2 linked regions of the Oryctolagus cuniculus genome follow. The protein of the gene in region 1 binds, or shares a complex with, the protein of each later gene. Links are inferred from orthologs where the notes say so. Each region holds a gene or a part of one and is shown in the gene's direction. Other genes may lie near its edges. The genes, in order: GTF2E2 and POLR2B.

What was found.
Region 2: GTF2E2 (region 1) and POLR2B share a complex: the UniProt entries of both Homo sapiens proteins name them as parts of the TBP-based Pol II pre-initiation complex. The link is inferred for Oryctolagus cuniculus from reciprocal best matches to the Homo sapiens genes GTF2E2 and POLR2B.

What each region holds. Positions count from the first base shown.
Region 1 is NC_091433.1:80,687,354-80,691,780, reverse strand, and holds the start of GTF2E2 (transcription initiation factor IIE subunit beta), read left to right. Parts: upstream 1-1,570; 5' UTR 1,571-1,793; intron 1,794-4,427. UniProt on the Homo sapiens protein: Recruits TFIIH to the initiation complex and stimulates the RNA polymerase II C-terminal domain kinase and DNA-dependent ATPase activities of TFIIH. Both TFIIH and TFIIE are required for promoter clearance by RNA polymerase.
Region 2 is NC_091439.1:107,652,835-107,656,642, reverse strand, and holds part of POLR2B (DNA-directed RNA polymerase II subunit RPB2), read left to right. Parts: coding exon 1-72; intron 73-381; coding exon 382-550; intron 551-1,579; coding exon 1,580-1,676; intron 1,677-2,246; coding exon 2,247-2,341; intron 2,342-3,396; coding exon 3,397-3,647; intron 3,648-3,731; coding exon 3,732-3,808. UniProt on the Homo sapiens protein: Catalytic core component of RNA polymerase II (Pol II), a DNA-dependent RNA polymerase which synthesizes mRNA precursors and many functional non-coding RNAs using the four ribonucleoside triphosphates as substrates.

The sequences.
Region 1 (4,427 bases):
TCATGCCAGATGGTGTCCTAAATGTGTAATAGGTGCGAGATGGCAGAATATAAATTACGAATATTGGACTCTCTGAAATCAAGTTAATGTGGCTGTTGGGAAACAAATTGGTCATGTGGTCAACCTTGGCAGCAGAGAAACAGGACCCCTTTCTGAGTTCATTTATAGGGTGATGACCATTTTTAAGCACCTCTGACACAAGAACGGGCCTAATTACAGATTATAGATCATATGAATCTATTTATGGACTTCTCTTGAGGAAATGATTCAGGGTACAGGATATCACTTAAAAGTGTTTTGAATAAATGCAGTCATTGCTTTCAGTGTTATGACCTCATCACAGGCAACTTGCAGTAGAAGCCAGAGTGATAACCACTGTTGACAACATCTATCATTTATAATTTGCACCAAAATAAACATATTTTCAAAGCCACTTTTCCATGAATTCCTTGGGTAAATACTGATTTTTTTTTTTTTAAAGATTAATGTATTTGAAAGGCAGAACAACAGAGAGTGACAGGCAGATCTTCCAACACTGATTAACTCCCCAAACAGCTGCGACACTGAGGTCTGCACCAGGCTGAGGCCAGGAGGCAGGAAGTCCTTCCCGGGCTCCCATGTGGGTGGCAGGGGTCTACGTATTTGGGTCATCTTCCGCGTTTCAAGGCATATTGGCAGGATGCTGGATCAGAGTAGTTGGGATGTGAACCACCACTTTGATATGGGATCCAGGTGTGAAAGGTGGCAGCTTAACCAGCTGTGCCACAACACCAGCCCCAAATCCTGATAATTCGGAGCGGATTGCTCAAGGCAAAGGCTCTGGTTTGACTTATGCGTTACTTCATTGTCGCCACAGTCCAAGTAGCCCATCACGGTAGTACCATTATTATCCCCATTTCCCAGAAGAGATGGAGATACAGGTTAAGTAACTTGAGGAGTAACCAGCAGTAATTAAAGGGCAGCTTCACAATAGGTAAGCGCTGGCCACGCTGCTGCTGTAGGTTCTCAGAACAGGAACGGAGAGCGGCAGAGCGCGAGCCAGGCGATGGTTTTCGTTTTATTCTTGTTTCGCTTCCAGCACCTCCTGTCGCAGTCCGAGATCCTTTGCTGTGACAGACAGCTCACAGGTGTGCGGGAAGGAGCCCGTGTGGGCTCGCCTTTGCTCTCTCTGCTGCGAACGAGTCACTTAGTTCCACGGGGCCTTTTTCGCCACTTTGAAACAGCTACAACGTTCTCTCAGGTTCAGGTGCCGGTGAGCGGCATCTGAGCGACAGTCACACAATAAACGCCGCCAGAACGCGTCGCCCTCGGGTTAGACTCCAGAGCCTGCCTGCCGAAAGAGGACTTCCTAACTTCGAATTTCGGCACAGACAGGCTGCGTCCATCTTCTTTAGCACCGCCTCCCACCTGAGTCCCGGCCTCCGCCCCGCCCCAGCCACCTTCCCGTTGTCATGGAGATCCCGACGCCCGAGCCGGCTTGTTCAGCTCCCGCGGTTACTCTCGCGGGGTACGCGATGACGCATGCGCGTTCTCGGCAGCGAAGGCGCCGCGGTGGCTGCCGGGACTGATCCTAGCTGCCTTATCAGGAAGTGGCGGGCGGGGCGGAGCCGCCGCCGCCGCCGCCGCCAGTGGCGAGACCCCTGAGCTGGCGGGTCGGCGCTGGGCGTGCGCGCAGGCTGGCGAGGGCGCTGACGAGGAGCGGGAAGCCACGGCAGCGCCGGCGGGGACGGCTGGCCGAGGCGGAGGCGCAGGGAGTCGGCGGCGGGTCGCGTGGGGCTGCCCTCTTCTCTCTGGTAAGGGCTGCGACCGCCAGGTGAGGGGCGCGAGCCCTGGCCTGTTGTTCTTCGCCCCGCGACGCGGCTCTCCTCGCAGGTCCTCACTTTTCGTGGGGCTGGGTCTCGGGACCCTTCGGACACGCTAACAGCTCCGTGGGCGCTCTGTCTTTGAGGCCTGGGGCTCACGGGACAAACTTTTGGGTTGAAAAGAGGGGGAAATCGGCAGTGGGGTCGCGCGCGGGTTGAGCCCCTCGTGGGCCGAGCGAACCGCACGTGTGCGGCTCGGGGCGCCACGGCGTCCTGCCCGCCGAGGCTGTGATTGAGTTGCTCACACCCGGACCGGCTTTCCAGCTGCCTCGGGGAGCCCGCGCTCGTGGTCTGTAATTACAGGAGTTTCCGGAGAACTCTGCAGGCGTCTGCCCCGGCAGGACGCCGGGGTCCCCCTTGGGCGCACCTCTGCGCCGTCGGTCAGCCGGGCACCCCTGGGGCTGAGGCCGGGAAAGCCGCGAAAGGCTGGAAGAGGGCGAGTCGTGGGGTGTGGGTCTGTCTCCCGGTTTCCATCTGCGGAAACACTCAGCGGTCTGTGTCGTGCTGCTGTGTTTGTAAATGTAAATCGGGCATAGTGTCGCGTCCTGTTGGCTACAGAGGTCAGTTCAGAAATGTCGAAGTCGGTACAGGCAGGTAAAGCTAGGCGGAGCGTCGGGTGGTGAAAGATCTTCATCTGCGGGCATTCCAGCGCTCAACTTGTAGGAGTCAGGGTATTCGGATCCTGGTTTATTGGCGTGTGTCAATCTCACCCTACCGCCTTAGTTTTGGATTTCACATATTAAACTAGTAACAACTGGGTCATCTGTTGTCTCCCAGAGTTATGAGGATCTGGAACTGTTAACCATTTAGGCTTTGCTAGACTGTTGGGCTTTATTTAAAATATGTTAAAGTCCTCTTTAAAAGCCTAGATTATCTACCTGTCATTACAAAGTGAGATAAACCGTTAGAAAGGTTTCCTGTTTCAGAAATTCACCACCTGGGGCCTGTGCTGTGGCTCAGCTGGGGCTGCCTGCAGTGCCGGTATACCATATGGGTGCCAGTTCGGTTTCCAGTCGCTCCACTTCCGATTCAGCTCCTTGCTAATGGCCTGGAAAAGCAGTGGGAGATGGCCCAAGTGCCTGGGCCCCAGCACCCATGTGGGAGACCTGGAAGAAGCTCCTGGCTTAGGCTGAGCCCAGTCACAGCTGTTGCTGTTTCCTCTTCTGTCTCTCTAATTCTGACTTTCAAATAAATAAACCTCCTTTTAAATTTTTTTTATTTGACAGAGAGAGGCAGAGAGAAAGGTCTTTCTTCCGTTGGTTCACCCCCCAAATGGCTGCTACGGCCGGCGATGTGCTGATCCAAAGGCAGGAACCAGGTGCCTCCTTCCTGGTCTCCCATGGGGTGCAGGGCCCAAGCACTTGGGCCATCCTCCACTGCACTCCCGGGCCACAGCACAGAGCTGGACTGGAAGAGGGGCTACCGGGACTAGGACTCGGCGCCCTTATGGGATGCTGGCACCGCAGGCGGAGGATTAACCAAGTGAGCCATGGCGCCAGCCCCTAAATAAATCAATCTTAAAAAAAAAAAAAGTTCACAACCTGCTTGTTGTCCCCATCTTCTCAGTTATGAATCTCACTTTCTTGTTGCTGTCCTCATACCATCCCACCTCCCAAAACTGCCTTCCTCACACCACAAGAATCATTCTTTTCTCTTCAGATCTTTAAATAGTGATACCAAAATAACTTATTTATATGGCTTTAAAAAATCAGTTTTGGCACTGGGATTGTGGCATAACAAATTAAGCTGTCACCTGTGATGCCGACATCCCATGTGGGTGCCAATCCAGCTCACTGCTAATGTGTCTGGGAAAGCAGAGGAAGATGACCTGAGTGCTTGGGCCCTTCCACCCTCGTGGGAGAGCGGGATGAGGTTCCTGGCTCTTGGCTTTGGCCTGCCCCATACCTGGCATTTGGGGAGTGAACTAGCAGATGAAAGATCTGTCCCTCTCTGTCACTTTGTCTTTAAAATATTTAAAAAACCAGTGTCACTTTCTTCTTACTGCTGGACTAGATGTAGACAGCATTGGTAGTGTCCTTATTTTACTTAGGAAGTTGGATCTAGAGAGGTTTTATGGATTGCCTGGCTGTGTGACTGTTAGGAATCAAAACTCAGAGAAGGTAGATGTTTGCGTTGTGGTACAGTGACTGTTCTTACTGAAGTTCACTCTGATTAGTCCTTATCAGTGCGGTGTATTTCTAATTCTTAGCACTTCAGTTCACATTTCATTCATTTTTAAAAGATTTATTTAAAGTCTGATTTAGAGGGAGAGACAGATCTTCATCTGCTGGTTCATTCCCCAAGTGGCTGCAATGGCCAGGGCTGAGACAGCCTAGAGCCAGGAACAACTTCTGGGTCTCCCATGTGGGTGACAGGGGTCCAGACACTTGGGCCGTCTTTCACTGCTTTCCCAGGCCATTAACCAGGGAGCTGGATCACAAGTGGAGAAGCCAGGACTTGAGCTGGCACCCATTTGGGATGCCGCCTTGCAGGTGGTGGCTTTACCCACCAGCCCCTGTTCATTGTTTTTAGAGCAAAGTGCTCGAGACTTCATCTTAAATCTGA
Region 2 (3,808 bases), on another chromosome or scaffold:
CACTGCGAGATTCACCCGTCAATGATCCTTGGTGTCTGTGCATCTATTATTCCTTTTCCTGATCATAACCAGGTTGGTGGTACTTCTGTCTTCTGGTTGGTGGTGATTTGGGGGAAGTAATAAAAATTAGAGGTTCATCTGCGGTCTCTGCCAAAGAGAAAAGCTATTCACCAGAAGACTGTGGACTGCTACAGAATGAGCGTCTGACTTGCTTGCTTTTGTGTTTCATTGATAAGAGCCATAATTGATTATTCCAAATGGTTGTCACTTACCTTCAGAAGAAATCCGGAACTTTACCGGTCATGTTTCTGAGTTACGGTCAGTCTTTTCCTTTAGAGATACTAGATTTTCATTGGTTGTGCTTCTCATTTCTGTCTGTAGTCCCCTAGAAACACATACCAGTCTGCTATGGGGAAGCAGGCTATGGGGGTTTACATCACCAACTTCCACGTTCGAATGGACACTTTGGCCCACGTTCTGTATTATCCTCAAAAACCGCTTGTGACTACACGGTCCATGGAGTATCTGCGTTTCAGAGAGCTGCCAGCAGGTATGTTTGGTATTGTTTTACAATGTTTTGAGACTCTATCATGCTTATGACACTTCTGGGTGCTTGGGAGGATTAAAAAAAGTACATATGACAGAGTGCCTGTTCCCAAGGATTTAATGTGGTGGGATCCACAAAACAGAAGGGTATGTGGAGAGTGTTACGATTGAGGTCCAAAGTCCTCTGGAGGCACAGACTAATGAGGTGACTAATTCCTGTTGGAAGTCTAGAGGCAGTTTCTCTTAGATTTTAGACTGGAGTAAAGTTAGTCAGCAGGTACTTGGATGGAGAGGTGGTTTGAGCAAGGCCCTAGATGTGGGAAGGTATGAGATCCAGGAACAGCAGTGGTTACTCAAGTTTAATGTGGCTGATTTGTAAACACCATGATAGTTCAAAGACTATTTGGGAAAATGGAGCTAAAAGATGTTTATTGTGGTGCAAAAATTTTGAAATCCTGCATATGCAGGGTCTTTGAAAAGTTCGTAGAAATAATGTATTTTTTTTTTTTTTTTTTTTGTTTTGGACAGGCAGAGTTAGACAGTGAGGGAGAGACAGAGAGAGAGTGATAGACAGTGAGAGACATTCAGAGAGAAAGGTCTTCCGTTGGTTCATTCCCCCAGTGGCCACTATGGCTGGAGCTGTGCCGATCCGAAGCCAGGAGCCAGGTCCTTCTTCCTGGTCTCCCATGCGGGTGCAGAGGCCCAAGCACTTGGGCCATCCTCCACTGCCTTCCCGGGCCGCAGCAGAGCTGGACTGGAAGAGGAGCAACCGGGACAAATTCCGGCGTCTCAACCGGGACTAGAACCCAGGGTGCCGGTGCTGCAGGTGGAGGATTAGCCAAGTGAGCCATGGTGCTGACCAGAAATAATGTATTATTTCAAATTTTTTGCACCAAATAATGACCTTTTAATTCTATTTTCCATGAACTTTTTCAAGTAGCTTTGTATATGGAATGAAAGCTTTTTTTAAAAAAGAAAGTTTTTGCTTGAGTCCCAGATGATTCTTTAATGCATATTTTTAAATTCCCTGTAGGCATCAACTCAATTGTGGCCATCGCCTCATACACTGGGTATAACCAGGAAGACTCCGTGATTATGAATCGTTCTGCTGTAGACCGAGGCTTTTTCAGGTCAGCCTTTTAGAAAATCTGTCAAAACACAGAGGCAGTGGAAATATAAATTTTTAATTGAAAGTATTTAAAATAGGTTTGAATGTGTTGTACGTACTCTAGAAAGTGAAAGGCCTGGTTGATGGCCACCAGCAACTGAAGATACTGCTTGTGTCTTGGGCTATTTGGATGTGAATAGTTTGAATCTTTTTTTGGTAGGCAAATATATTTACATTCAGATAATATAGAAGAATGAAAGTGAACTCCCTGGAAACTTTGAGCAGACCTTGGGTGACCAGGGTGATCAGGTTGTTGTGGAAGGGATTCTTGGGTTAGGTAGGAGGTTAGGCTCTGTGCCCTTGGGTCCTTCTTCCTCCTACCCATAATTTCAGTTAGTTGAGGTTATGTGTCAGATGTAACATGCATAGCCCTTGTGATAGCATTTAGGATTTAACCTCATCCCTTGATAGCTACTTTGTGTCAGATTCATGGTTTAAACTGGGTCCAAATATTAATTCAGTGAAAAGTTGGTTGGAGTATTCTAAGCCCTGTTAGAAAATAGAAGTTACCTCTGGAACCATGTATTTGTAGGTCTGTTTTCTATCGCTCATACAAAGAACAGGAGTCGAAAAAAGGATTTGATCAAGAAGAAGTTTTTGAGAAACCCACCCGTGAAACATGCCAGGGTAAGTGACACCAAGATTTAAATTCTGGAATTCATAGTTAAGTTACCGTGGTTTTCCTAAGTAATTTTGCTGAGGGTGTCTCACTGTGCTCTTGTTAATTTTTTGTAGTCATTGCTAGTGTTCACATTTAAGAAAATGTTAATTTCCAGAAGGCCTTGCCCTTGGCCTTTTGTAGCAGGGGCCTTGCTTCAGACCTTCCCTGCTGGTAGGCTGGGAATGAGGGGGAAATTTAGGAAATCAGAGACGTCATGTGACTTTGGGGCACACCTCACAACGCCAGTCCTGCTTGTTCTGTGTCTGTCTGTCCTTCAGTTGACACATTGATATCAACCCTCTACACTGTGGTAAGAACATAATGATTTTTCAACCACAGTATTTGTAAACAGTAAAAATAAATGACAGGACATTTACCACTTGTTGTTTCTTCTAAAAAACTCAAACTCCCCAGCTACTTGTTTCGTAGTAAGTAGTTCATTTAAGAGCTGCTTATGCAGTGGGGTGGATGGACGTCTCAGGGCTCTGCTGTGATTTTGACTCCTGATGGCGTTGCCTGGTGTGTAATGTGTTTGTTCCCGGTAGCATCTTCCGGGTCCTCCATTTCTGTGGGTGGTTCTCAGTGTTGGTGAATTGGTATTTAGTGGTGTGCAGATCACATTTGATGAGATGCACAGTTTCTGTGGAAGAGGTGTGCCCAGGGCATAGATACTGTTTCACACCTCCCATGGGGATCAGATGATGGTGGCTCACTTACCCAGTCACTCAGCGATGTCTGTCGTGGGAGAGTCTGATTTACCAGTGTGCAGTGTGGTGTTCTTTTTCTTTGTAAACTTTTTTCTTCGTAGGCTATGGTATTACAGGGTTCAGAATAGTATGTAATACTTGGAATAAGGGCAATACGTCATCACTAAGCATGGTTCATAGTGTTAGAGAACTCTCTGTCTTGCAGCTGATTCAGGTGTGTGGTTTTTAGTCTTTGTTGGCAAGTATGTGACCTTTTTAGTGCTTTTCTGTCTGGTAGCAACATTTCAGGAAATCCTGTGTCCATCTCCCCACAGGCATGAGGCATGCTATTTATGACAAGCTGGATGATGATGGTTTGATAGCTCCAGGCGTGCGTGTGTCTGGGGATGATGTTATTATAGGCAAGACAGTCACATTGCCTGAAAATGAAGATGAACTGGAGAGTACAAATCGACGCTATACCAAGAGAGACTGTAGTACTTTCCTCAGAACCAGCGAGACGGGCATCGTGGATCAGGTCATGGTCACTCTCAACCAGGAAGGATATAAATTTTGCAAAATAAGGGTGAGTACAGGTTTAACATGTAGGTGCTTTTAGAAAGTACAGCAGTTCCACTTAATTAACTAACCTATTTTTCTATGACTCCAGGTACGCTCTGTCAGAATTCCACAGATTGGAGATAAATTTGCTAGTCGCCATGGTCAAAAGGGTACTTGTGGTATTCA